Linked DNA regions of Bombyx mori. The protein of the gene in region 2 interacts with the protein of the main gene of each other region in a pairwise test. Links are inferred from orthologs where the notes say so. Each region holds a gene or a part of one and is shown on either strand. Other genes may lie near its edges. The genes, in order: ras-related protein Rab-39B and GRIP and coiled-coil domain-containing protein 1.

Evidence for each region.
Region 1: the proteins of GRIP and coiled-coil domain-containing protein 1 (region 2) and ras-related protein Rab-39B interact in a two-hybrid assay, tested with the Drosophila melanogaster proteins (2 studies listed by BioGRID). The link is inferred for Bombyx mori from reciprocal best matches to the Drosophila melanogaster genes GCC88 and Rab39.

Annotation. Positions count from the first base shown.
Region 1 is NC_085129.1:14,750,442-14,768,079, forward strand, and holds ras-related protein Rab-39B, read right to left. Parts: upstream 10,503-17,638; 5' UTR 10,388-10,502; coding exon 10,280-10,387; intron 10,209-10,279; coding exon 9,857-10,208; intron 9,196-9,856; coding exon 8,987-9,195; 3' UTR 3,506-8,986; downstream 1-3,505. Other genes in the region: THAP domain-containing protein 1, read left to right, coding at 13,541-13,619, 14,111-14,225, 15,052-15,244, 16,127-16,723.
Region 2 is NC_085118.1:16,485,109-16,489,100, forward strand, and holds the start of GRIP and coiled-coil domain-containing protein 1, read right to left. Parts: upstream 2,801-3,992; 5' UTR 2,535-2,800; coding exon 2,450-2,534; intron 2,076-2,449; coding exon 1,974-2,075; intron 1,508-1,973; coding exon 1,404-1,507; intron 627-1,403; coding exon 481-626; intron 1-480.

The DNA.
Region 1 (17,638 bases), on a different chromosome or scaffold from region 2:
GTTCAAAAATCCTCCAGAATAGCGCTAGCATAGGCACAAGGTATGATATGAATTGAGCAGTTGTTATCTGAAGTATGCTGAGTTAGAAAATTTAATATATTTAATGACTAGAGTAGTTAGTGACAGTGTAATATACAAGACCTTACATGTTTACGTAGTCCAAACTAATTTCGTCAAAATTATTTTTCGTTAAGGCGAATTTACAGTACGAAATTAGTGGCATGAAATTAATTTCGTGACATTAGTTTTACCAACAGTTTCACGTGTAATTTAATACTTTTGTAATGCATGCATTAATTTCATGCATGCAAATTAGTTCCGTGCCCTGCGCGATTTTTTGGTGAAATTAGTGTCATGCAACTAATTTCATAGTGTAGACGCGACGTGGAACTAATGTCGCGAAAGGGCCTGCGCTGTGCGGACGTGTGTATTTTTAGTTCAGACGCGCTTCAAGTGTTGAAAATTACAAACCAACGATGGAGTACAGAAAAAAAAAGATCTTATTAATGAATATCAGCGACAAGGGTGTCTCTAGGACCCGAAACACCTACAGTAAAAAAGCAAAATAATCTTCACTCATTCGAAAATAGTTTTTATAACTCTCAGGATCTTCATCTGCTAATTCAGAGACTACCTTCATTGCACCTAAATGCCTTCTTGTTAACCATCCTCGAATCTACCAACGTCTTTTTTTTCTAGATAGTCTTTTTTTAAGTTTATAGGTATTTATGCATTTCTTTAGCTACATTGAATAGAGCAAAATATAGCTTTGATGCTGAAGGCACCATAGTTACTGCGATACTATGGATTTCGCGACACTAATTTTTTAACGAAATTACTTTCGCATATATCTACTACTTTCGTGAAACTGAGTTCAACGTGCATGACACTAATTTCGTAAAAGAAATTCCGCTTTACTATTCGTTAAAATTATTCCTGTGGTAAAACGTGGGGACATCTATTGCATTTTCCAGCTTTAAATAAAATACTTTTTGTGATTTTGTATGTAGTGCTTACAGTTCTTTATTCTGTTCTATTTTTCTATCTTTTTCTAATAACTTACAGCGCCTTTTTTTTAAATTTACCCGGTTCGTACTGTAGCGCCACCCTTATTTTTTTTAATTTTAACGGACACTTTTTCACACACAGAGACGGTTCTCCTTACCTCTACCCTCCATAGCACAGAACACTATTACTTCTAGCAACTCCATAGTCTCAAGGCCTTCACACTGAACACACCTAAAGTCATCGTGGCATAAAGGTTAAGACGTCCGGTGCATTCGTATCTAGCGATGCAACGGTATTCGAATCCCACAGGCAGGTACCAATTTTTCTAATTAAATACGTACCTACTTAAAAAATGTTCACGATTGACTTCCACGGTGAAGGAATAACATCGTGTAATAAAAATCAAACCCGCAAAATTATAATTTGCGTAATTACTGGTGGTGGTGGATGGTGATTCTTACGGGTAGGTACCACCACCCTACCTATTATTGCCCTGAAGCAGTAATGCGTTTCGTTTTGAAGGGTGGGGCAGCCGCTGTAACTATAGGTACTGAAACATAAGAACTTATATCTGAAGGTGGGTGGCGCATTTACGTTGTAGATGTCTATGGGCTTCAGTAACCACTTAACAACCAGGTGGGCTGTGAGCTCGTCCACCGATCTAAGCAATAAATAAAAAAAGAAAATAATACGTAATTTTTTCGTGTGCTATGTCTATTGAGTAATTTTTAAGTAAAACTATTTTCGTATTGTTCTTTTGTTATCTTTTTACTGATTTTTGAAGCTGCCTTCTTATCAGTTTATGGGTTTTTTGCCTTTCGATTTAAATAATATACACAAAACACAGCTTAAAAAGGGTTATAATTGTAATTCAATTAAATAAAATGACTAGCAAATAAAGCTTTGACTCTTACCAGGTACAAAGTTTAAAGAACTGATAAATAATTCAACATATCCCTGATTTCGAAACTATCTCCTAATTTTGAGAAAACGTAACGGCTGGATCTATTTAGATACCTTTTTTTTTTAATGTTAAGTTAGCTGTTATTTAATTATTATTCATTGTCGGCTTTAGCAATGAAAACGGTCTGTTTACGCCCTGTACAATTATTCCAACAGTCACCGCACAAATTGTAAACAGTAATTATCTCTAATATGACATGTGTAAGCACACATTGACTCGTAACTGACCGTGTTTCCTGTGTGCTGTTTGTTTTCAATGCTTCACCTAGAAAAGTAAATAATCAGTATATTTTTGTAATTATAAGTACCTTTTTTTTTTTTTAACGCTGGGGAATCCATTTACGGATACCCGGTCCGGGGGGGTCACGTACCGGGTTATGTCGGACTATTATATATTATAATTATAAGTACCTAACATTCTACGTTATGACTGTGCAGTATTCGAGACAATGGTTTATGTAAATATCTATTATGTTTACGAAAACTACAAATGTTACATTAAGTAGGTAGATAATTTTATGTTCACATTTGGTTGAAGTTGAAAGTTGAAGATGAAAGGCGATTGCATGCAGATGGTATGGATATGTGATGAGATGAAATGAAACTGAAGTTGGTAAGAGAGTGTTAACTATGAATGTGCAAGGATATAGAGGAAGAGGTAGACCTTAGAAGAAATGGATGGATTGCGTGAAAGACGATATGTGTAAAGAGGGGAGTGAGCGAAGAAATGGTATATGATAGAGGAGTATGGAAGGAGAAAACATGTTGTGTGACTGGGAAAAGGGCAGAAGAATGACTACGATTTGGTTGAAGTTTAGTAGGTATCTACTATTTTGCGACGTAGTTGAATAAATGATTTCCAGGCCATGCTCGATATAACGGTTATCATACGTTCCATCGATAATACGCTATACCAGAGGTCAGTGCGGCTCCGGAGCCGTATGCGGCTATTTGCAATCTTGAGTGTGGCTCTAGCACAAATATCCTACAGGCTTGCCCGGCCTCTAATATTATCCGGCTGTGGACAGTGTGGACGAAAAAGCCGGTTAATAGTATGTACGGTCATTTAATATCAGCACCCCTGACTAATGTCGATTATTATGTATATTAATCGAAGCAGTATACAATATAGCTTTTATTTAATGATTTACAATAATAAATGTTTACTACATTTACAAACAGATTTGGCTCTCAATTTTTTTAAGTCGTTTTAATTTGCATATTTGGCTCTTTGGCTGATAAGTTTGTCGACCATTGCGGTAATCCCATCAATGAGATTCTTTCACGATAGAAATAGGGACAAAGAAAATTACGCTTGTCAATCCTATATGGATACACTACAAAAAAGGTTTACTTACAGTAAAGTGGAGTACTACATCAAGGGCCGTAATCTGTTATCAGCACATTCTAACGGCATAGTCCGACGGACTATTATAATTTAATTTTACTCTTTTACAAAGTTATCACATCTTAGGAGACAGACATTCTGACCTCATTAAACAAAACTGGGTGAACACTATAAAATAAAACAACGTTTCATTTAACAAAAACTATATTATTATTAATCATAAAGCTTCATTTGATAGCATATTGGCTATTTATTAAAACAGTCTAACACATAAAAAAGAACAATAATAATTACTTACATAAAATGAGTTCCGTTTACAGTTCTTCAACTTTTGCGCTTCGAATATCTAAATCAGTTTGGAGTTCGAACACATCATTTTACAGAAAAAAATATTTGAGCCGCCATGCTTTCGTTATTACTACAAACTGTTATTACATCATCTGCTTGTATAGGTATATTTCACTGTGACGGTCTAAACTGAAGACTATCTGATATAGTCGCCAATGAGCTTCACGAAAGCTATCGCTTTTACTGCGAACAGTTTCGGCGATATCCAATCTAGTCTCACAGCTGCAATAGCTCACACAATTCCAGCGTGCGATGTTGTGAGAGGTGTTCACAGATAGGAGATATAATGAAACATTGGATAAATCAAATAATTGTTCGTCGAGGTCGATAGACGTAATCAGCTGCTATTACGTTTAAAAAAGGCACAACCTGATGGTCATGGTTTCTAGCACGAAGTATTGTTTTTAGCTTCCTGATAAATGTTGCCAATCATGATTTAAAGTATTAACAGGACACGAATAGTACATAGTAAAGGCTATGCTGGCAATATCTTTGGTTGATAAAAAATTGAAAAGTGTCGAAGTATCGGTGTGATTAGCATAGTGAGTTTCTCGCCGCCCACTGAGTTTCCCGCCGGATCTTCTCAGTGGGTCGCGTTTCGGATCCGGTGGTAGGTTCTGCGCAGCACTGTTCTTGCTAGGGCCAGTGTTAGCAACACACCCGGTTTCAGCCCCGTGAGCTCACTTACACGTCAAGGAGAAGCTGATGTAGCCCAAGGCTATCAGCATAGGTAGGAAAAAAAAAGAACAAATGGGAACAGAACTGCTACATGTTGCTGAACCAATAGCTAATGGAGCAGTCGAATTCGAACACAATACACGACATATCCAATGAAGGCCACGTTTATGTTCATTCGCCAGACGTACGAGCCGGGAAGGAATTTGTATGGGAAATAACAGTAAAATATTTATCTCAAGCTAGCATTTTCATCTAAGCTGTGGGTGATCAAAACATCCACGAGTGCGACATTAGAAATATACATATACTGCGCAGCGCAGTAGCCAGTTCATATAACACCAGCGAGCTCCTTAAAATATATTTTTTTCATTTAAATATGCAACTTATTCACAAGTATACTGACTACAAAAAGCCCTATACATGTTATCAAATCTGATTTATCAAACGAAGAACTTGAAGAAATAAACATGAACATTTTAATACAATACGTTTTTTATTATTATTTTATTACTATAAGATTATAAACGTTAAACCTAACCTTTTAAGCATAATAATGCTTCAGAGTAAATGTTGTGGGTACTCCAAGAAAATAGTAACCATACTGATTTTAAGTAGTACCATTGAAAAGGATTTTACACTTTGATACGCTTATGTGTACTATAAGGATGGGAGATTTATCGATAATTTTACTTGTACAATAAGTACATAAGGCATCCAAATTAATAATCGTTGTGTATGATGCACACCACTCTGCTCTCCTCGACATATCTAAGAACGTTTCGAATTTAGTGTAAATATTTCGAACAATTAATTGATCACACGTTTATTCCTATAATCACAATTAAATATCAATTTTATATAATAATATTGACTGCTTAAAGGCATATGTGTTGTGATTTTTGTAACAGTTTAAGAATATAAATGTTTTCAGAAATAATAAAGTATGCAAAAGCATAAGTTATACCAAAATGTAGGTTGCTTTATATACATTCAAATTTGAACTAGAAATCAATATATTCATATTCCATTGCCATTATTATGTTTATTTGATAGTCATTGCTAAACGTAATGTTGTTGGTAGGTAGAAAAACATATTTGTAGTGTAGTTACATAACTATAATCCGAATAGATTCATTAAAACAATTAAAATTCAATAAAAAGGTAAGCAAAAGTTGTTGGTATTTTTTTGAGCGTGAACAAGATTAGGTAGCTATTGTCCTGTTTGCAATAGAAATTAAGACAATATGGTGAATCCGAACATTTATATTTATAATTCTAAATATATTTTATGAATTTGCTATTAAAATGACTACTTGTTTAATTAAATATATCGGGTTTCTTATTTATTTAGTCTCATAAAAATCAATGGATATTTGAATAATATATTTTTGCGCTCATTTCCCTTGGACGGTAGAATTAGCACGTTAAAGTTTTAGAATGTAGCATCTGTATATTGGATTCTTAATATTCAAAATATTTATAATAATTATTTTAACACTAATGAAATATTTCAAATGACTACTAAAGTGTTTATTAATCATTTAACAATCGCAGGTACAATTTTAATGTTACAATTACTTAGGTTAGTTTAATTCAATGTACAAATCAATTTGTTAGTAAAAACTAAAAACAAGTTAGAATCTAAGACTTATTTCATTTTTCTGCTAAGTTTTCGGTGTACCAGATTTACCAATTCTTTGGTGTCTTTAAACAAATTAAATTAAATTTTAAATTCATAGTGAAATTGAATTTTGGTTCGAAAGTACTTTGGTGTAATGAAGTGTTGGAGTGAAATGTCCATTTTTAAAATGAAATTGTACGTGGAATACGATTTGACTGTTTAGAAATATAAAATAAATCAGAACAATAGAAACGTGTCAATACTGTACATTATTTACATCAAAAACAATAAAACAACAAAGAAAAAATAAAATAATGACTATAAACAAAACAGTGTATTCGGTCGTTTGGTCATTGGAATTAGTTGGTAAAGTACCAATTTTTTTTAGTACAAAGAGTAGTTTAGCTTTCAGGGATATTATCTTCATAATTTAATAGTGCCCCTAAAGCAGACCCATTCAAAAATGAGATTTTTAAGTAACATCAAAATATATTTTAATTTCATTGTTTATCCGTGCCTGCAATACCTTTACTAACATTCAAGTTCAATTTATTTAAGTGTAAACATATTTTAAATTTCGCATTTTAATTAGTATTATCATGCGGCTATGTTTTTTTTGGTTTTTTTATGACACACTTTTTGTTTATTCGATTACTGTTGGATTTTTTTTCGCAAACACCATATACCTAGATATAATGGTTACTCCTACTACTGGGACAATTCTAATGCCTCCACATGTGTTATAATCCGTTACAGGTTTAGCTAGTAGTCCCAGAGTACCAAAGAAATAGTCATTCATACATACGTACGAAAATTACTTTTTATAAAAAAAAAGTTTACCTAATTTGATCGGCTACGTTTATTTTTGCTTACAATAATTGTCACAGTGACATAATTAAAAATATCTGTGAACCCGCGCATTAAACTTAAATATCAATGATATTTAGAAATGCTATATTTTCCACAGTCCTACCTATAATATACTCGTATTATGCTATATGCTATATTTGCCATATAATATTTGTAAAGCAAAGTAACGATAAAGTATTCTTGAAATAATTGTAAATAAATTCAAATCTTAAAGATGAAAGTCACCTCAATATAATTCTGTAAATAAAAAATAGGGTTATTTGTTGACTGACAACATTTAGTCAGCCACCCCTTTTGCGAGCATGTTTTTTATGGAAAAATAATGGTAGGTACATATTGAATTTTTTATTTATTAATTTAGTCTTTTTTCTGTTGTAGTGTGTAACAGGGATTATTAAATATTTATTATGTGTCAAAGAGCGTAATAATAATGAAACAAAATACTCGAAACTTCATCTCGGGCTTCTAGCCCTCATTAAAAATACCGCATTTTACTGAGAATGACCATATATAAATAATAGTAATTAAAAACGTGTGCAAATCATGTATCTGGCGTCTTTAGCTTGTCAATTAGCGGAAACTGCAAACAGTCATATGATACGATCAGCGATGTTAATAAATTGCTTGATAGCTTGTCATCACTTGTATAAACGGTGCATTATTAGCTTGTGTTAGCTATCACATAGCAATGCTTTTTATTAAATTTCACATTAATAATCCGTTAATTATGTTTCATGAAAGTTCCGGTTCGCATGTTGACGGCAATACAATACGGCATAGATTATACACTTTAGCATCATAGATTAGCGAATTCTTGTCACGATTTCCTGTATCTAAAACCACGTTCACACTTCAGATGGCATTCTTATCAAAATAACTTAAAAGAACAGTGGTAATGCTCAAAAAGACCGCATCTCACCACAATTCGTAGATAAGGGGCCAGACAAATCCCACCCAACGGACAAAATATTTTATTTTCTTTCGGCAAACGTTAAGTTTTATTATTGTTTGTCGTTGTCATAGGCCTGTTGATCGCTTTCCTGAATTTATTTTAGGATGAATATTTTATTTTAAATTTTGCATTTTGGCTTCAATATAGAAATTACAAGTATTCATTTACCGTAGCAAATTCAACCGATGTTCACCCTAACCTACAATGCTATGCAATTTATTAAATAGTCACCTATACTACCGCCAACTGCAGCGTGATCGCGGCCTAATGAAATGAATGAATTTAAAATGACTCGTGCCCTTGTGTTACTAATGTCTCTGAAATGTCACAAACTGACAATTGTACAAAGTTTCATCTCAATCGGGGGAATGAGGTCAGAGTTTATCAATCTCAGACAGTAATTTCTGCTAACAGTCATTTTTTTGATAAGCTATATCTGTTAACCATGCACATGTAAAAGTATTACAAATCTGGTTGCAAACATTGTTTGATTTTATCTGCTTTGGGAACCTTGATATTACGTTCAACAAGCCAATGCAATGTGCAATTCAGTTATATGATTTCTGGGCTAGTGTATAATCCCCGCATATATTTTCCCTATGTCTACATAACACATTTATATAACCCTATTTATGCCAATAGCAAGTATGTGTGTGTGTGTGTATATAATATGTCCTAAGTACTTAATAAAACGAAAACTCAAATCATTTATTAATATGGAGGGCAGTAGTGATGTTTTATTATGTTTTAGATATTGCTTCACATTACTCATACGCAGTGTTTATTGATAAATACAGTTCATAAACCATACAGCTTTAATGTCATATGAGGAATCACTTGCCAATTAGGGTGCGATAACACTGGTCAACATTGGCTTATAAAAAATGAAAAAAAGGATTTTGCTCAATAAGCATCGTCAATAACTACATACTGGAAACTTTCTATTTCATGTACAATATTACTAAATAAATAAACCATAAATAAAGTAACACCAGACAGTAGCACTAAACATAAAAAAAAAGAGTTGCTGCATTCTTTAACACTGCAAGTTAGTCATTATGAACTTCATTAACCCAAATATTGTAATTAGAACATTAACTACATTACCTGTTCGATATTACAAAAAAGTATATTTATCCTTAAATATCAATTACAACTATTGTGAATCATATTTACATAGCCTTTTTATGCTCTTCATCTAACAGCACGTTGAGTGTACAGCTTCTGCTTCAAGTAAATTGAAATCAGTACCATTTGGTCGATTGAATCCTGTTTTTATTCCGTCCCATCCGTCTTCCACTTTATACTCACCAGTCTGGATTCGGTTGTAGACTTCTTGAGCTACAAGTACAAATGCCTGCTCGACATTTAATCCAGTTTTTGCTGATGTTTCTATGTGATGTAGGCCTGAGAACAGTTATTCTAGTTGTATGTTACAAGAAAACAAAAAAAGTAAGAGAAAATTATATTCTGCCATGGCAATGTTTCCCATCGGAGTTCATTTATAGTCGAGAATATCACCATTTAACTACAGCACACTAATACAGTCATTTTTTCAAATTATGTATCAAGGTATTATTCAATATCTCTATAAAATAGTTGTTTTATAAAATATGTATTTTTCCATAGACATTTTCATATGATTCAGATTTTGGTGTTGTTGTACATTAGCAATGTTGAAGAGGAAAACTGCCTAATTTCAATGAAGTGGCACAATTGAAAATCATTACAAAGGTGTACATTTTAGTTTGGTTAGTTTTTTTGTGTTTTTACATATCCAGATAAGCACAGTCTTATGACTGTTAGATTAGCTATCTTAACTTATTTCAAAACATAACAAAAAGTTAAAGGATTTATTTTTAGTTGAGTAGTTATGGTCACATATATTCTGATTCAGAACCATAATTTATAGTAGTTGAGCTAAAGAAATTTTAATATTTAATGTTCTTTTTATGTATCTGATAACATGATTACGAATTAGCTTTAAATGTGCAAATGAAGTTTCATTGAAGTGTTCAACCAGACAAACAATATTAGTGTACTGAATAATATTAAATTAGAATAATACCGTTTTCCTCAGCAAATAGCCTGGCTTCTTCACATGACACTTCTCGTCTTGATTCACTCTTGTTATCACTTCCGACTAGGTCGAGCTTACAGCCAACCAATGCGAACACTGGTCTGTGAGGTTCTATGTGCCTCTTGGCTTCCATCATCCATAATGGTATATGTTCGAAACTGGATCTGTTCGAGACGTCGTACACCAACAAAGCTCCAACAGAGTTTCTATAATACGATTTCGTGATGGAACGAAATCTCTCCTGTCCAGCCGTGTCCCAGAGTTGTAGTTTAATCCTTGTTCCATCTTGGATCTCGATGATTCTAGCGAAGAAATCTACGCCCACAGTCGGATCAGATAGCTGAAAATAAATGCGCAATTATATGAATAAATTGACAAAAATATCACATAAACAAAGAAATTATCACTCACCTCAGCGAACTTCCCGTCTGTAAAATACTTAAGCAGAGAACTCTTGCCGACCGTGCTATCTCCGATTAGGATAAGCCTGAACTGATAATCAAATATCGGATCGACCATTTTCTTTATTGTACATTCAATTCAATAACATTGAATAAAATTGTTAGCAACATTAATCTCGTCAAAATTACGTATGATCCAAAAAGATTCTGTTTGGTTTGTTTTGTCACTACAACGAGCAAGGGAAGCATAGCTCATTCGGCCTAAACTTTTGTGCTCCTGCACCGGAAAGGAGCAGAGCCGACGACGAGGTGTCACCATTGTAGACACGCCCTGGACATGGCGGAGCATACGACCGCTGTCTGTCCCGCTTGGGAGATGCAGCGTGCAGTGTCCTGGTCGCAAATATAAAACCGGACTTGTCGCTGCCTGGCATCGTGGCGTCGATGTTTAACGGCGATGAGTCCTGGAAGGCTACGCTCGACTTCTGCGAGTGTACTATCTCGCGGAAGGAGGCGGCGAGGCGTATGAAGTAAAGCTCTCCTCACTACGCAGAAATCCGCCGCCACCAAGCAGGGGGTCGGGATCCGGGTGCCATCCGTGACTCGCCCCCCCTAAGAGTTTCGGGATCCACCCGCTTTATGCGGGGTGGGACCTAAGCGTGGGGCGGCGTGTTTTGCACGCTCGTAATGGAAATCCGGTGATGGTATACCGCGTTCCCTCGACCGATCCGGGGAAGATGCAGCGCGGCGCCATCAAATCGAGGGGACCGGCGGTCGTGTCGTCAGCGGCCGCTGGTCCGGCGTCTAAAGTACAGCGAGATGAATGTAATATGGTCTGCGTCAACCTGTCCTGCCATTTCAACAGCCCCGACAGGTCTCCAGCCCGGTCCAGGGTAGGGCGCCGGCTGTGAGCGGCAGGAGTTTTTAGTAAGGTTCAACTCCCACACACTTCACCTGCCACGCAGGTGGGGATCCAGCGATTTTCTACTGTGGAAAATAAAGTCCTTTGTGCTACATGTAACGAAATTCTAAAATATCCAGCGGACTAGAGGTAGCCTGGTTCTTTTCTAGAGTTCAAACTATTTCAAACTTAATTTCGTCAAACATCATGACGACAGCCACTAGAAAATGTACGATGAAGTTCAGGCAACCCCTTGGAAGGCGTTGCTTCATTTCTGCGCAGGAGGTCGGGGAATGAAAGATAGTGAACTCTTCCGTTTCCGCACTGATCCGTTGCCGCGGAGCCAGGGCCGATAGAGGGTTTTCGCCCTTAATGAAATAAATATTTAAAATATGCTCACGAGTTATTTCCATGGTAAAGTAACAGGTGTATTAAAATCAAACCCGAAAAAATACAATTTGTGAAATGATTGATGATAGGATTCTTGTGAAGTGTATGGACCACCACCTACATTATTTGCTGTGCGGTACGGTGAAACAGTAATACGTTCCGGCTTAAAGAGTACGTAGAACAACCGTAACCATGTAACATCAGGTGAGCAGTAAAATCGTATACCCATTTATGTAAAAAATAAAGATAGGCAACACATTTTTATTTTTTCATTCAATCTGCTTAGTAACCGTACGTAGAAAATAATGAAATAGATCAATTGTTCAGATGCAGTTGATTTTTCCATTTCTATAAAAAAAAAACACCGTAAAACTTGTGGTGGATTTTAAAGTCTATTTATATTAAATTTTACATTCAAAATTACTTTTTGAACCAAAAACACTTGCGCTATGACAGCGAAGGTATTAAAATAGGAAAGAATTTGATGAAAATCAATCAGTGGCGAAAGAGCTAACTAAAATTAATTGTATTAAACTATAGAAAGTTTTAAAAAGGTTTATTGTAGCTTTATCAGTTTCACAATTTTTTTTATTTTTAATTTTTTTTATTGCTAGATAAATGGACGAGCTCATGGCCCACCATAAGTTAGGTGGTTTCCGGAGCCCATACACAGCTACAACGTAAATGTTTTGAGTATACAAAGTTTGTTAATTTTATTTTTTATTTCTTAGGTGGGCGGACGACCTCACGGCCCTACTGGTGTTAAGTGGTTGCCAGAGCCCATAGACATCTACAACGTAAATGCCGCCATCTACCTTAAAATAAGAGTTCTAAGGTCTCAGTATAGTACAACGGCTGCTCCATCCTTCAAACCGAAATGTACCTAACCATAACTGCTTCACGGCAGAAAAGGCAAGGTGGCGGTACCTACCCGTTCGGACCCACAACTCTTGGGTAAACAAACCTCGGATTGTAAATCGAATCCGAATATAGATATTTAGCAGTTAGAAAACCACATTCATTTCCGGTAAAAAAAAAAAAATATTTCAAAGGTTTGCTTTGCTTTTCTGCGGAAGCAAATAAGACTAAACATCTAAGTATTTTTTTGCGTTGTATTCTTCTTTCAAGTTTCCAGTGATGGATTGACGCTTATTGACGGCATGATTTGAGGGGCGATAAAAAAATTTAAATTCTAAAATTACAGGTACCAAAAAAAGTAAAGCCAGTCTTCTTTAAAAATGAATTCATATTACATTTTATAAAAAATAAAATACAAATTTATTTTAAATTTAAAATAAAAATATTGGATCAAATTCAAAAATAAAATTGTAGCATTAAAGGGGCGGCGCGATAAACAGGGCCTAGGGCGGCATCAAGCTTAAATCCTGCTACAATAAAAGACTGAAGTTCTCCAAGCTAAATAATAATATCCTTCTCTTGTGAATATTTTAAGACCAAAGCTGCAAAGCAAAGTATGCTAGGTGAAAACAAAATCATAAGTTATAAGTAGAAAAGTATCTTCACCTATTACGATTTTGAAAAATTTTAAAGCATTGTCATTGATAGTACCATAGATTATACACTAGATAGCACACTGGCATTGTTAATTGTTATGCATCTTATTGTGTAGTCTGTGATTTTGAGAAATAAATTTAATTGTTCGGATGCGTTCTAGTTTTTGATCCTAAGTGAATAAAAAAGTAACTTGAATGACAATTTACAAAGCTAAATATGAAATATGATTATAAAACATGATGATGATATCATTAATGAATAAAACTCAAATTGTTAAGCTGTGTGTATAACCTACGTGGTGTTAACTTTGCCGCCAAACAAAATTTTGTAAGCTATTTAAAATGAATTAAACACTAGTAATAATTCATTAAAATGTTGTAAAATTTCGCTGTGAATATTATAAAAATGCCATTTTGAGATAAAAGTCGTGAAATTTAAATTGGTAAAATTTGAATTTCAGTTGATATGAATATCAATCTAGTATACAAAATGAAGGATAGTTTAGCAGATTTTAACGATAATAAAACGAAACCAACGCCAATAGGTGAGTACTGTTCAATTCATTAGAAAAAAATATATTTCCTAAGCGTTTAATATATTTTCATAACAGAATGAGCTTTTTACTTTATATTACTAAGTGTAATACCCGATCCCACCCTCGTAATACATGAAGCTTCCAACTCACTTAATTTTGGTGATGCTTAGTCGTTGAAAGAATCTGGTTTAAATAAATTAACAAAAATCAGATTTCTCATAAGAAAGATTAATGTCACTTTAAAAGTCATATCCTAATTAAAAAAAAATCGGGCTTAAGAACCGGATTCCAATTATAAAAAGAAAACCAAGAATTAGATCTAAAGAAAGTTAAATTAATTGAATATTGATATGTTAATTTTTTTAAATCATTAAATTAAATGGAACAATTAATTTATTTTTTTAGATTGCCTGTACACCATTGAATATTTGTAAATTATAAATTAATTTTAAACTCCAATATGTAACAAATCTATCAATCAATGTTATTTGCACTTCCAGCGAAGGTAGCTCCTGAATTAAAACAAAATGCTGATACGGACATGGGTATAACGAAAACTTGTGCTGTACTTGGATGTGACGATTGCAAGAATATGGACTCAATTATGTTTTTTAGGTATGTGAAATTCATAATTCAACGTAATAACCATTTGTACTGTTTATTAAATAATAATATTATCCAGTCAGAGGTAAGTGACCATCTAGTTGTACAACTGACTTGTAGTTATCTCAATATTGGACAATATCTCATTTCTGCATGTCTAACTTGGTCAAGATTTATTGTCTAACCATGTTTTTACCAAGCAAAATAATAAGGGTAGTAAGAAGCATTAATTTACTCTTAATATTTAAAGCAATTTCAGCCATACTTTATTGCCACACTCCCTTTAAACGTTGAATACACTGATTTTCTCCAAGTGACTTATTAAAACAATAAATTTATTTTACAATGCCAGAAACCAGAGTAAAATCAGAAACTTAAATAGTTAAATATTAGTGAATAGTGGAAGTACATATATTATGATTCTTCAATATTGAAAGATTTCTGCTGAGCTTTATTAACTAGGATTAGAGCATTGTTTGTCTTCATAACATGAATAGCTTATATAAAGATGGAAAAAAATAAAACAAAAAGAAAACAATTTTTCTTTTTGTTTTATTTTTTTACCAATATACCAATGTATATTCTGCAACATTTCTTTTTAAACGGTTAAATAGGTTATAGTCAGGGTCAGCATAGCAAATTCGAGAGAAATTCCTAATGTGATTGCAATCTACTTTGATTGGTGTGCAACAACTTTTACAAAATGCGATTGAGCAAATTTGACTTCATTTGAAACTAGATAACATTCATTCATATTTGTCTCCTGTAATCATTAAATACCAAGTGAGTCTATAAATGGCAAGATTAATGATATTACATGATTAATTTGTTTTCAAAGGTTTCCTGAGGACTCAAGTCTCAGACAAATATGGACAGACCTCACGGGCAGAAATAATTGGACTCCAACAGATTTTTCCTATATTTGCATACAACACTTCTCTGTAGATTGTTTCAAATTAGACAATGAAGACAGAATGGTGCTTGTGGATAAAGCAGTGCCATCTTTGAAATTGCCTCGACATGTTTTAGAGGTATGTAGTCAATTACCTGCACTCTTAGGAAATGCTTGTGCGAGTATTATTTGGCAGGCGATAGTGATCAAACTGGCTTTGTCAGATTTAATATATCTGAGGCTCTATTAATGCAATATATATTTGTAAATCAGGTTAAAATCAGAGCATCTCAATGACAAAAAAAAAAAATGGCAATGTCTGCCTAGCTCTGAATTTGAAGATACGGATCTCCTTCACTAACTTTCCTATAATTTATCTGTAGTTGTATGTAGCATGCTTTCCTCTTCTATCATTCTTAATTTACTACTTTTTATGTACTTAGGCCTATGCGAAAGCAAAACAATCTTTGCCAATGTCAAAAGTTTATAAAAATTACATTAATAGTATGTACCTAAATATGAATTAAGGTTGTTAATAAAAGTAATAAAAGCTTCTTTATCTTATGTACCGTTTCATATCTGTATGTTTCCGAACCAATGATTTGCCTACTGCATTGAGGTAATCAAACTGTTCTCTTTTGAAGGATTGACAAACAAGAGAGCTGTTGATCAATTAAAACTTCAACCTTACATTTCAAGGTGGTTAATTAATACATTTCAAATATACAATCATTTTTTGGGAAAATATTTAGTAGTATTTTTACTCGTGGTAGGACCTCTTGTGAGTCCATGTGAACAGGTACCACCACCCTTCCTATTTCTGCCGTGAAGCAGTAATGCGTTTCGGTTTGAAGGGAGGGGCAGCCGTTGTACTGTTAAAACTGGGACTTAAAGCTCATGTCTCAAGGTGGGTGGCGGCATTAACGTTGTTGATGTCTATGGGCGCCGGTGACCACTTAACACGAAGTGGATCGTGAGCTCACCCGTCCAACGTAGCAATAAAAAAGGACTATTGTTTTAGGTTGAATACATTGATGAAGACACATTAGACAATGAAGGTGATAATTATATTCAGACTGAGAGTGACGAAGAACCAGAGAGGCCTAAAAAAATAATGAAAACCATCACATACAAAGAACCAGATATTGAATTACTCAAACTGTTCAGTGAAGTACAAAGAATGCAAAGGCTGGCTGTCACTCTAAAGCAGAAATTAAAACACAACATGAGAATACACAATAAACAGAACAGGTTCTTGCTGAGAATTAGAGAAATAATCGAAATGAAAAAGAAGATTTTAAATCAGAAAAGAAAGAAAAAATGTAGAATTTTATTGTCTTTGCAAGACAAAATCAAGGAAGACACAAGTGGTTTGGTTCTAGCCATGCCGATGAGACAAACGGAAGACCTAAAAAATTTTGCACTTAGTGTTTATAAATATTCTCCTCAAGCATACATATACATTCGGAATACCCTGAGAACAATGTTGCCAAGTACTGAAATTTTAGAATCGTGGGTGACTGCAGGCTACCAGCCTAAAAATGTAGCTTCCAATATGATTAAAGTGGTGGCGGAACAGACTGAAACATCATTATCTTGTAAAGTGACTTTAGGTTAATGGAATTCGATTTATTAAATAAATTAATTATGAAGGAATGTCAATTATTACTGTTATTATTCAATAACCAGAAATCATTTTTTTATCAACTAAACATTTTTAGAGATTTTAAAGTAAAAATTTACTAAATTACCAAAACCCTTTGGCGTGTGTGGTCAGGGGGAAGGTCTTCAACGGGGACTGGAGTTTTTGTGTTTATTGCCTAGATGGGTGGACGAGCTCCGGCCCATTCGGTGTTAAGTGGATACTGGACCCCATAGATATTAACAATGTAAATGCCGGCATGAGACAAGCCTCAGTTTTACACGACAACGGCAGCCCCGCCCTTCAAACTGAAACGCATTTTCACGGCAGAAATATGTAGGGTGGTGGTATCTACCCATGCGGACTTACAGGATGTCCTACCACCAGTTGGGAGTAATCCTCATCTTGACAGCGGCATTTGGCACTTTTCAGCATTGCTCCGGATTTAATTGTTCTACGCTTTGCTGGCGATGGGGTCTTTATTGTTCCGTTACTACAAAGAGATTAATGCTAGGGAATAATATAAATTAATTCAACTTTTTTTTTAGTTTTCATCATAAACAGAAGAGGTGATTGGATTTTAAGCACTTCTACATTTACCGTATTTACACCTCCCTTTTTTTTCCTACCTATGCTGATAGCCGTGAGAGCATATTTCAGCTTCTTGACGTATAGGTGAGCTCACGGGGTTCAAACCGGGAGTGTTGCTAACACTGGCCCTAGCAAGAGCAGTGCTTCGAAGAATCTACCACCGGATCGAAAACTCTACCCACTGAGAAGATCCGGCGAAAAGACTCAGTGGGCTGTGTATATGGGTTAATTTATTCGAGCGCTTCGTCGCAAGCGACGGGTTCAGTGAGGACGGTGACCGGAACACCTCCCAAGATACCA
Region 2 (3,992 bases):
AGCCTAAAGAGTGGAACAAGTGTCATGCACATAAACCTCAACCATAATATATCGCAATATGAACGTAGCTTCTATCTGTTGAGATAGTTTGAGCTGAAAATCAAAGCAATATACACAGAGCCTACCCAAAAACACATCTTACTATCAATAAATTACTAATTTTAATCGAACAAAAAGATAACAAAGTCGCTTTCCCTGTCCCTATATCCCTATGTATGCTTAAATCTTTAAAACGACGCAACGGATTTTGATGCGGGTATTTTTTAATAGATATAGTGATTGAAGAGGAAGGTTTATATGTATAATAACATCCATTAAATAATGGAGAAATCAATAATAAATTACAGTTTCCGAAGCGAAGCGAGGGCGGGTCGCTAGTTTTAAATATTTATTTTCTATTTGAAATGCGCTAGTTTACTTGAAAAATAGCCTTTATGTCATAGAATCACATAATATTCTGTATAAGAAATGTATGCTTACTTCATCATAGCAACATGATCAGCTCTCTCCTTCTCCCTCTCTTGTATCTCGTAGGCTATCTTGGCTTTCAGACTGTTAAGCTCCAGCAAATGTTGCTGCGATAGCATTTTATTCTCCTCTCTCAGTGCCGCTAACATGTTCTCATACTGTAATAATATTCACGCTCAACATTAGCTAACATTTCATTTTGTATAATAAAAAACAACAATAATCATTTTAATGACCACTAAAACTGTGAAGTATCTCATACATCAGTAATAATATAATGACAATAAAACAAGTTCGATTAAGCTATAAAAGTTGTTTTAATTATGTCTATGACTCACGAAAATCAAAGAATATACAATAATTATATCTTCATTGTAAAATACTGGTGGTACTACTGGTATTACTGGTGGTAGAACCTCTTGTGAGTCCCCGCAGGTGGGTACCACCACTCTGCCTATTTCTGCCGTGAAGCAGTAATGCGTTTGGATTTGAAGGGTGGGGCGGCCGTTGTAACTATACTTGAGATCTTAGTACTTATATCTCAAGGTGGGTGGCGCATTTACGTTGTGAATGTCTATGGGCTCCAGAAACCACTTAACACCAGGTAGGCTGTGAGCTCATCTACTCATCTAAGCAATAAAAAATAAAAAAAACAATACATATACTTCTGCACCTAATGATGCATTGCTTGTGTCCACTAACAAATCTCAAATACAAGCAACATCTAGTAAGCTTGTATTTGAGATTTGTATGACATTAACTTATTATTTGTAACATTAGTATGACATAAGTCTTGAAAATAAATCCTTTTTGGTAAGCTAAATAACTACAGCACTAATCTAATAGCAACTGAGAATATATACTTAGTATTTCTGAGAAAAGCATAGACAGATATTTTTCTTTGGCTGTAGGCACATTCATGGAATCACATGTACCTTATCCCTTGTAACTTTTTTGTCTGCCTGGAAAGCTTCTTCCATGCGAGCTTTCTCCACTGTGAGGGTAGAAAGAGACAGAGTGAGGGCTGTGACCGAATCATCTGTAAATTGAATGAAATTTTAGAATCCATGCATTATGTGATTTGGGTTACTTGTACTATTAGCATATTATATTTAAAATAGAAACTCATATACAGTAAAAGATCCTTATTCCCGATTCCTTCGTTTGTGTTTCGACTATTCGCAGATAAAAAAATGCAAGCCAATTCCTATATTCACAGCTCAAGATTTCCTTATGTGTTGATCTAATAAGTCTACTGGTACATACACATTGATAAAAAGGATTTAAATATGTAGGTATCCAACCAAATATCCTTTGTACCACTATTAGTGGTTTCTGTATTTGCAGACTATTTAAGGAGCATATACCCCACGAAAAAAGAGCTTATACTGTATGACCAAAAAAAATTTGTATTTTTAGACAATATAATATCAATTTTTTTTATATCTACAGAAGTGATAAATGTTAATTCCCCATCTCTATTCTACACCTCTGAATGTCCATACCTTCACTTCCATCTATAGTGTTTTCAGTCTTGTTGAGTGCCTTCAAGCTGATCTCTAATGCTTCTTTCTCTTTAACCAAGCCCTTGTAAGCTGTGACTACATCTGGAAATGAAAATTTACCTTGTAAATGACATCATTACTTTTTTCTACGTTGAATTTATAGTTGATATGCTGCCACAGCCAAAAACCAAGGTTTTTGAGATGAATTCAAATTTGTCAAATATGTATTTAGAAAATCTACTTTTATGTAAATGCACTACAGGATTTGTTTTAGCCACATAACATATGGCTCTCAAATTAATCTTTTCTAATGGTGTTTAGGAGCACTTTCACATGTTTCTCAATAAACTATGTTTAATAAGAATCTCGCGAAGTCTTGGAATGAGTGCGTGAGCTGACTATCTGTCCCGGTTAAGCAGCAAATCCTCCGAGCTAAACACTGTCCTTCTATTCCAAATAAAAAAGATTACACTTACCCCGTAAACGTGATTCGTATCGTTTTATCTGATCAGCTTGTTTTGTTATGGTAGATATTAGCTCTTGTTTTGATAATGATTCCATTTCTATTGTTATGACACAAGACTAGACATATTTTTGTTAAATAAACTTTACCATAAACTATTAGTTAAGTTCAAATAAACTAGAACGGATCAGTATTTAGTACAGGTTTAATTATTTGAGAAAACTCCACAATTTAAACAAGTCTGTAAATAAAATTTGATTTAAATCAATATTAACATCACTTTTTAGTTCCCAGTTCAACTTATATTATAATAAAATAATGTCATTAATGTCTAATCTATGCTTCCACTTACCAGCATGACCGATGAGACTTTTTGGCGGGAACGCGAGGACTGAAGTTGTGTGATTTGTTTTATTTTGTCTATTTAGTGTTTCTTCAGGTTTAAATATGTAATAATGGTGGTTTATTAACTGTTTAATATCTGTGAAAGTGCACAAATGTGGGAAAATGAAACAAAGCTGCTGGACGTAACTTCTCGGGTTCCTCCAAAAAGTCCACTGAAAAAATCTCAGTAAATGACCACTATTTTACTGTGATTATATTTCATCCCATATCATTTCATATCATTAAATTTCATCCCAGTTGATTAATGTCTCAAATTAATCATCTTCATTTCATTTCACTCCTTATTATCATTTTTCATAAAATTAAGAATATAAAGTAAAATAAGACCTGACTTAAAGGTCTTAGTTACCAGGTCATAAAATCTCTTAAAAAAAACAGCATGACCGATTTTTTGACGTTTGACAACATAGAAACCATTAAAAACTCCAAAACGATCGATACCGTATATCGTATTAACTAATATTCTTTTCTCTAATAATCTGAGGATGTACTATAAGTAACAAGAAAATTTTAGACCTACATATCTACGTGAATATGGAAAACAAAATAAAAGAATACAAGGTTGAGAATAAAATTACAAAAGTCAAATTTATCTTACTCATTAAAATATCAACAAAAGTCAAATTTATCTTACTCATTATATAAAATTTGTTAGATAATTGTCATTTTCGTAATCATTGTCACAAAGTTTAAATTTATATTTATATTGCTTACGAAAGCACTAGTGGTCTTGCATTGTCGTGAAGGAGCAATGGCTTAAAGCGATTGACCAATCTCGGTTGATTAGCACCTAGTTCTTCCTTCATGGTTTACAGTTGCTGACAATAGATATCTGCCGTAATCGTTTGGTCAGATTTTAGATAGCTGTAGTGAACGACACCGGCGCCGCTAGTCCACAAAACTCACAAGTAACTTTTTCTGAGTCTATTTTCGTTTAGGGCAGGATTTGGCTGGGTCTGCAGAGTTCAGCTATTGCGACGAACGCTTCCGATTATCGTACAGTACCTATACACTTTCATCACAAGTAATGATTTGATTTAAAATCCCTTCATTATTGTGTCGCTTGAGCAAAGTAACACAGCAGTTGACGCATGTTTGGAAGTTCGATCCACTCAATTCATGAAGTACCCATCGTTGATTTTTTTTTTTAC